Linked DNA regions of Nothobranchius furzeri. The protein of the gene in region 1 binds, or shares a complex with, the protein of each later gene. Links are inferred from orthologs where the notes say so. Each region holds a gene or a part of one and is shown on either strand. Other genes may lie near its edges. The genes, in order: atp7a and atox1.

Region 1 (3,820 bases):
AACAGCTGATCAACTGAATAAACGTAAAAACAAAAACAGAAGCTCACTGTCGTATCTCGTTGCTGTGGTCCAGGTGGCTGGCAGTACGGTCTCTCTTCACTAAAGATGCCTCAAATCCTAGTTTCTACAAACAACAAACAGCTGATCAGTTGAATGATCTCTGAATACACAGCACCTTTTCTCAAATCCATCACTCACTCAGGTTAAAACTGTAGGAACAGAAAAGCTATGAAGTCTCAAACGTACCTGAATTAGCTTTATGATGTCTCGTGGCCCTATAATTTCGGAGTCGTACTTGACATGTGCTTTGTTGGTTGCCAGGGCAACAGAGGCATATATAATCCCCTTTTCTCTCATGAGGCTGGATTCAATTTTATGAACACAAGAGGCACACGTCATCCCCCTGACCTGAAACGAGGTGAGGAGGAAGAGACGAGTATGACATGAGACACAAGCACATCTCTCTCCAGCTGTTTTAATCTGTAACACGAACATTTATTAATGGATTCTATTTTGTGGAAATAAATAACACAGCAGCCCTTTAACTCACCACAAGCTCTAGGTTTCTGTCGGAGCCTTCGTAGTCCTCCATCACAGAGGCGGTGAAGCCCAGCTCTCTTATGCACTCTGCTATCTTCAGCGGGTCGGTTACATCCGGGTTAAAGCGGACCTCTGCTTTACTAGCCATCAGTGCAACGAGAACCGAGTAAATACCTGAACAAAGGGAGAGTTTCAGTGTGATGTTCAATAACAGTGGAAAGATACTTGGTTTAAAGAAGTTAATTATCAGTTATTTGGTTAAAGAGCAAGTCACCTCCTACAAGAAACTTACTTCGCTCCCTCTTGTTTGAAAAATGCAACAAATGCTGTTGCCTGGCAGACCGAGAGGGCAGAGCTGCTAACAAATACACACACACAGGCTCACAACGGCATTGTGACATCATAATGTACCAGTTTACATCATAGCATACCTCTTAGCCAATAGCGGTGGCAGATTTAAACTCAAGTACAGTGCAGAGTTTTAACCTGACGACGGCACAACACTGCCACTTTTAGGCAGAATATTTACATTTTAACTAAGATGCACTGAAGTACCAAATTATTGACGACACGAGTCTGCAGTACGATTAGACACACATTTATTTAGTTTATCAGGGGAAAAAAGTTGATTTGGGGGTGACTTGCTCTTTAATTATGCAACCTGCTGGGTTTTCAAACTTTTAACTAGTGGCCATAATGACTTGAACTCGGTGCGCTGATAAGTAGGTTCAGCTGGAATGTTTACTTTGTAAAGCGCCTTGAGCTGACTCTTGTTGTGATTTGGTGCTATATAAATAAACTGAACAGAAATGCACACACCAGGCTCATTCTTGACGTTTCGCTCGATGTTTGACACACAAGACGCACACGTCATGCCTCCGACCTGGATGAAGCACTTGGAGGGCGTGTCTCCGGTGTGTCCCTTTGGCGTTTCGCTGTGACGGTCACCGTCAAACTCACTCCCCAGAACAGGCAATGCACTTGAAGATTTGGAACAGACAGCATCGGGCGCAGGCAGCAGAGAATTGGTCTCTGTTTTAAAGAAACATTTAAATAGTTAATAGCAGGAAGTCGTGACTTTCCCCTCTTGACTTAGCAGTCCTATCATCCACTTGTAAGAACAGTTATTTAAGAGGAGCCTGGGTGCAATAAAACTTTCAAATATCAGCGAGTACTCCATTATGAGTTCATTTACAACTGCACCAGCTACACTCTTACCAGGCAGAGTTGCATCAAAGTCGATGTCCTGTATGGCCGCTCTCAGCTCCTCCGGTGTGGTCAGGAGAGGATCATATTCAAAGGTGCCCTGATGATCAACCAGAGAGACCTTAGCAGACATCACCCCCTTTCTTTGGGCGATCACACTTTCGATGGACTGCACACAGGAGTTACACGTCATGCCTTCGATGTGAATAACGACTACGGATGCCAGCGGCTGGCTAAAGCAAGGCTGTAAGGCTTGTGTTGCTCGTGCAGGCTGTGATGCTGATGAAGCAGGAGGAAGTGATGTCAATGCAGCACTGAGAGCACATCTGTCCTCCCAGAGCTCAGTCTTAAACTGTCCTGGAGGCAGTGCTTCTATGGCACTCTGCAGCTGGGTCACTTTGATCTTTAGAGGATCGTAGCAGATGGTGGCCTTCTCTTTCTCCAGAGACACCTCCACAGAAGAGACGCCAGGCACCACTGAGATGTTGTCTTGAATATTGGCCACGCAAGAACGGCAGTGCATGCCTTTTACCCTGAGCAGCACGCGTGCTGTGTCTATAAATATTTCTGTCTCCGACGGTGATGACTTTTTCGGGCTTTGTGAATTGACAAAACGTTCAATTTCTTGAGGGGAGAGTAGCAGAGGGTGGGACTTGGATTTAACAGTGGCCTTGAAGCCAGCCACAGCTATCTGGTCGAGGATGGTTTGAATAGCAATGAGGTAAGGCATGTAGACGACCGTGGCTTCCTGAGACTCTAAAGCAACTGTGCAGAGAAATGACAAAGTTAGCACACAAAAACAAACAACAACACACTTAAATACTGTGTTTGTAACGTGTTATACTTTCCAATTCAAGTTTGCTCAAGTTATACATGTCAAATAATTAAAAAATCTACATTCTATATTACAGCATTAAGGGGTTGGATTGGGGAGTTAACCACCAAATATTTCCTCGAGTGCAGCCAGTGCTGCAGCTCACCCCTCTGGGATGGGTCAAATGCGGAGATGTAATTTCACCAGTGTGTGATGATGACTAATGACCCCACTTCCCCATCCTGTTTATTTCTGTGGCTAATAATGGCAATGGAGGTTGAAGGTGTTTTTTCATGTTCAGCATAAATATGCAACTCAGATTGACCAATCATATTTCAAAACGACCAAGTATAACACGGTTTCTCGGTCAACAAGAGCCTTTACACCATAATGGGCACAATGAGAGAATCCCAGGAGGGCACAACTGCTGACAGAACAAAGTGAGCAAAAACAAACAAAAACAACCTACGTTCCTCCTAAAAGCCAAAAACTCTGCTGACTGGTATAGAAGTTACAGAATTATCTTGGTTGTCTTAAAGTTTGAACAACAAACTGTTAATGCTGCCATCCTCTTAGTCCAGGCCAGTTTCAATAGTTAAGTTTTTCAACTAACTGAACCACAATTCAATAAAATGCCTGTTCAGTCATAGAAAATCAACTAATTATTAAGTATTAAGTTATTTCTGACCTCTGTAGGGTTTATCCAAATCTGCATATGGAATTATATCCTTTCTATTTGAATGCAAAGGCTTTCCACTGATGGTTGGTCGCTGTCAGTTTAAAGGTATAAAATGAGTTTACAACACACTCGATACACGCACTTCAAACACAATGGCGTGTACGTGCTCAGCAGACATTATCCTCTCGGTCTACATATACCTCCCTCCAACCATACTGGTGAAAGGATTCCATGAGTCACAGACAAATCCTACAAAGCAGCTCTCCGAGGACACAATGACATGACACCAATGATCTATGAGATGTGCAATGCAGCAGTTGTGTTCTAATATCTCTTGTAGCTCTGACGGTCAAGTACATCACCTTTAATCTTTTCAATCCCTTTCAGTTTTCCAATCTTCCCTTCGATGGTGGTGGTGCAACTGTGACAGGTCATTCCATTGATGCATAACTTGAGAATTGCTGCTCTGTTCACAGCAGTGTCTGATGGGGACGATTTAAGGCCTACTTGTGCGGGACTGCCAGGAGTTTGGATCTCCAGGGGCGATGCACCAGGCACTGCCCCCCTCAGCTGCTGTACAG
Region 2 (4,356 bases), about 28 Mb from region 1:
ATTTTAGTTTTAACTCTGCTTCAACACACCTGATTTCAATCAGCAGGTGTAGGGATGACTACCTTTGACATTTGAATCAATCCGGTACTAATTCCCGGTACCTACGAATCGATACCGGTACTTAAAGGTACCAATTTTTGATACTTTTGAGTGTTTAATATTTTAATTCTCTTTTATAATTAAACATATATTTTTCCTCAATATATAACAGTATTTGATAATTATCACGATAAATAACATTCATCTGTTTGTATTTTAACATCGTCCTTGTAGTTTTATAAGCTGATAATTAAACTGAAGCAAACATCTTTACTGTGAACTAAATTTACTGTGTATCTTCATTCCTTTTACCATCCTTTTTCATTTGATTTTTCCTACTGGGAAGTTAGAATTTCCGAGGAGAAAGCGAATGCACCATTAGCTGATAACGGTGGCAATGGAAGCTAACATATCAAGCTAACGTTATCTTAAACAGTTTAACTGCTGAAGCAGATTTAAACGATGATGCCTCACACTTAGATCGTTGTCGCTGGTTTCATCTTCACCCAATCACCTGTCGCATTTAGTAAAGTGAAGCCAAACTTAAGAGCGTGTTCGTGTTCTTCTAGTCGGATATTCGGAGTTCCGAGGAGAAAGCGAACGCACCATTAGCGAAACGGAAGCTAACATATCAAGCTAACGTTATCTTAAACATTTTATTTACCTACCGGAGCAGATTAAGATGAGGATGTCTCACTTAGATCGTTGTCGCTGGTTTCATCATCACCCAGTTACCCATCACATTTAGTGAAGTGGACCCAAGCTTTAGCGTTCGTTCTTTCTACCATGCTGCTCTGTTTACAACTGGCTCGCAGGGACGACGACATAACGCTCTTGCGCATGCGCAGCTGTCTAGGCAAGTTCTCGTTATGAAGGACGGGTACCGAAACGAGGCACCATTTGAAATGACGTGAATTGGTGCTCGGTCGGTACTATGGAATTCGGTCGGTACCTTAAAAAGTACCGAATTCGGTACCCATCCCTAAGCAGGTGATTAAATGACTTCTGCAGAGCCTGATGAGCTGCTGCACAGGTGATTCAACCATTGAATCTAATGTGGAATTAAATAGCCCTGACAAAATGTCTTTTAGCTATGCGTTGTTGGATAAAGGAGTGCTGATGAGTGAGTGAAGATTCACTCTGTCAATCGGAATGGAATTTCATTCTGATCAGGCAGTATCGGATCAGAATATTCCAATTGATGTGTTTACATAAAGAAATTTTGACCTGATAGGGCATTCATTTTGATTACTTTTGTCCATGTAAACACAGCTACTGTTATCACCACTGTCTCACCTGCTGTACGTAAGGCAAATTCCTTCATTTAGTGCCATTGTACGTGAACGACTTTCCAGTTTTCCTCAGCGCATCTTCGAGAACTTTCACATCCTTGTCAGACTCAATCCAAACCAGATTATTTGGCTGGTCAATCTCAAACTTTGTATCTAGGGGAGACAGAAAGAGCGCAATTGTCAGAATATTGAATTAAAAAAAACATGCCTCACGTTGAAAACCTGCAGTAGTAGTCAGTAGTTTATCTAAAATAAAGCTAACAATCTTAGCATTAAATAACCTCCATAGCAGTCAAGAGCTGAAAAGAGGTTTAGTTAATTTTGTTACATCAAAGCTCCAGTGTAACTGGATTGAAACTCAACATTTTACAGAGTAAAAGAATGGTAAAACTATCACATGACATCACATGATTTACCTGCTGACTCAAAGCTCAGAGCCAGCAGGTCATTAGATGGATGTGATAGAAACTAATTTTAGACATTTTAGTCAAATGCCACTTGAATAGGAAGATGTGTGGGATAAATTTAAGCCTCCACAATGGATTTTGTCCAACAAGATGAATATTAGAAAAATATTTTTGATCAGCTATAAACATAGCTTGAAAAAACTTATTTTAAATTATTTTGGATAATTATATAGAATATAGAATATAAATAATGCATACAGTCAGCATAAACATGACCCATGTAAAAAATTAAAGTGATGTTGCTGAAACAGAGAATTTCTACATTTTAAAGTGTTGTTCTCTCAAGACTGCTCCAAAGACAGATATAAAGTGACACATTTAATCCTAATATAAAAAAAATCTGCTTGATATAAAATCGTTAACACTCCATTCTTTACAAAGACGAAATTATATATTTTAGCTGAGAGAAAAGCAGTTTCAGACTGACAGCCAGTAAAACAAACAAAACAGGCAAGTGAAGCGAACAACTGCAGGAGACTGGAAGAGGAGTTTTACCTTCCAGTTTACCGAGGGCCTTGGCGACAGTCGCTGAACATTTCTCACACTCCATTTCCACCTTAAACTCGTGTTTCTGTGAGGCAGGCAGAAGCAATGTAAATAAATCTAAACTTTTAGTGAGAATTAGTACATTTGTCTATTAGTTGTTATTTAAATTTTCATCCTAGATACCATGGTTTTTGTATAACATTACTTCTTAATCAATAGTTAAACCGAGGTGTTTTTAAAGAGGTCTGTGAGCAATAAATGAGTTAGCTAGGTGACATTTGAAGGTTTACTTTGCAAGCTACTGCCAGTCAATGCTGTTGCTACATACTTAGGAGCAACGTCTATGCTAACAAAAAATAAAGAAGTCATTAGAAAACTCACGGTCATGTTTTCTGTAGCGTGTACCTCCTAGCGATCGGACAAACTGTAAACCTGCGATTGAAAAGATCGCAAGCGTCGCAGAATCACCCGAGAAATGCTTTCAACTAGCTAAACTGGTTACTGTAAAGTTAGCTTTAGCCACAACAGTAGCTCAACTTCCGGTCGAATAAAACAAAAGCACGTCCCCTGTCTCGTGACCACCCGGTGGACTAACCAAACCAAGCGCTTTCGTTCCGAGCTGGTGTCGCTTTTTTATTTTCAAAATAAAAGCCTATTTTAACAAACATACTTTAGAAAGAAGACCCGATTGTTTAAATATACTTGCAGTTAGATGTTACCAAAATTCACTTAATGACGTTAAACGTGATTTTTTTCGCTGACAAGAAGCTATTATATCTTTATTATTTCAAGGTTTTAATATATCTCTATGGCAACAGAACGTGGAACATCCTGGTCGGTCGGGTCATGTGACCACACCACTGGCTCCTCTGAAGGGAAATTCTATTAGCTGAGCCGAGTCTGCTTTGCTCCCAATCTGTGCCGCGTCGCCGGCAGCTACGCTGTGTTGCCTTTTTAACTGACTGCGATACGAAAATAAAAGGTTTGCGGTCAGGCCACTGAGATAAAGCCAACGTTGGAGGAGAGGACACACACGGTTGTCGCAGAGGTAGGCTGGTGCTGTTTGTGATGGGCCGAGCTGCTGTTTACGAACACATAGATGACATCGGAACCTTCAGCTAACATCAGCTAGCTTATTTAATGGCACGACCAAGGCAGCTCTTAACTTTACCAGCTTCCATTAGCATTGTGTTGAAGTGTTAGTATTTTCAGTGTTTTTCGGTTTCATTTAGAACACCGGTCTCGTGTCTGCTTTGACAGCTCACGCGTCTCCCGGCCAAAGATAACACACCATTGATGCGATTACCGCGTTAATCTGGTCGGTCTGCGGGATGTCTGTTTGCTCTCATGAAAGGACAACACTTCTCATTTAAAATGTCTAAAAACAAACTGGTTCAGTGGGGAGTGCTTTGGCTACACCCTGATCTTACAGTTTAGTTGCTTTTCACTTGCCAACATTTTCATATTGACATTTTATTTGCCCTGAATGCTAATAACTACTAGCATCCTCAGAGGCAACAACTGGATCCGCAGAGGAACTTGGCCCCCATCTGTTTTGCAGAATTTTTTAATTTCAGCCACGTTGGGTGGTTTTCTGGCATGACCACCTTGTTTCAGGTCAAAGGTCAGATTTTCATGTAAAGCAGCCCCAGACTACCACACTACCACCACTGTGTTTAACTGTTGTGCTGTTTCTTTTCTGAATACCAGTGTTAGGTTTACTATTTAATCATGACAACAAGAAAATAATTCTGAAAGTGGGCATTTTACAGCACTCAACATACAACATAAGTAATGAATGCAGACAATCTACATTCAGCTTCTCAGGTTTGATCAATTAATTGATTTTAATTTAAATGGTGATAACAGTTTATTAGATAAGACATGTGAGTTATCTCTTTAGTAACTAAAGTTCTATTTCACACAGCTGTATCTTTCTAATCTTGTCTGCTTGCGAGTCTTCTTGTACATGTTTTTGTTTGTTCCTGTTCTTGTGAAGGACTGACTGTTAGAACCAGGACAAATATGTGCCGGTTAGCTTCATGCAAGATTTCTGTCTCACATTCTCTCTG

What was found.
Region 2: the proteins of atp7a (region 1) and atox1 are in contact, whole or in part, in an NMR structure (PDB 2K1R), measured with the Homo sapiens proteins. The link is inferred for Nothobranchius furzeri from reciprocal best matches to the Homo sapiens genes ATP7A and ATOX1. Residues at the interface, in NP_000043.4 of Homo sapiens: Cys19, Asn20, Ser21, Cys22, Trp24, Thr25, Gln29, Asp67, Asp68, Met69, Gly70, Phe71, Asp72; in NP_004036.1 of Homo sapiens: Thr11, Cys12, Gly13, Gly14, Cys15, Ala18, Arg21, Val22, Lys25, Lys57, Thr58, Gly59, Lys60.

Annotation. Positions count from the first base shown.
Region 1 is NC_091741.1:97,524,220-97,528,039, forward strand, and holds part of atp7a (copper-transporting ATPase 1), read right to left. Parts: coding exon 3,602-3,820; intron 2,512-3,601; coding exon 1,759-2,511; intron 1,573-1,758; coding exon 1,360-1,572; intron 715-1,359; coding exon 551-714; intron 409-550; coding exon 247-408; intron 125-246; coding exon 48-124; intron 1-47. UniProt on the Homo sapiens protein: ATP-driven copper (Cu(+)) ion pump that plays an important role in intracellular copper ion homeostasis.
Region 2 is NC_091741.1:69,333,023-69,337,378, forward strand, and holds the start of atox1 (copper transport protein ATOX1), read right to left. Parts: upstream 2,877-4,356; 5' UTR 2,672-2,876; coding exon 2,666-2,671; intron 2,370-2,665; coding exon 2,294-2,369; intron 1,485-2,293; coding exon 1,360-1,484; 3' UTR 1,336-1,359; intron 1-1,335. UniProt on the Homo sapiens protein: Binds and deliver cytosolic copper to the copper ATPase proteins. May be important in cellular antioxidant defense.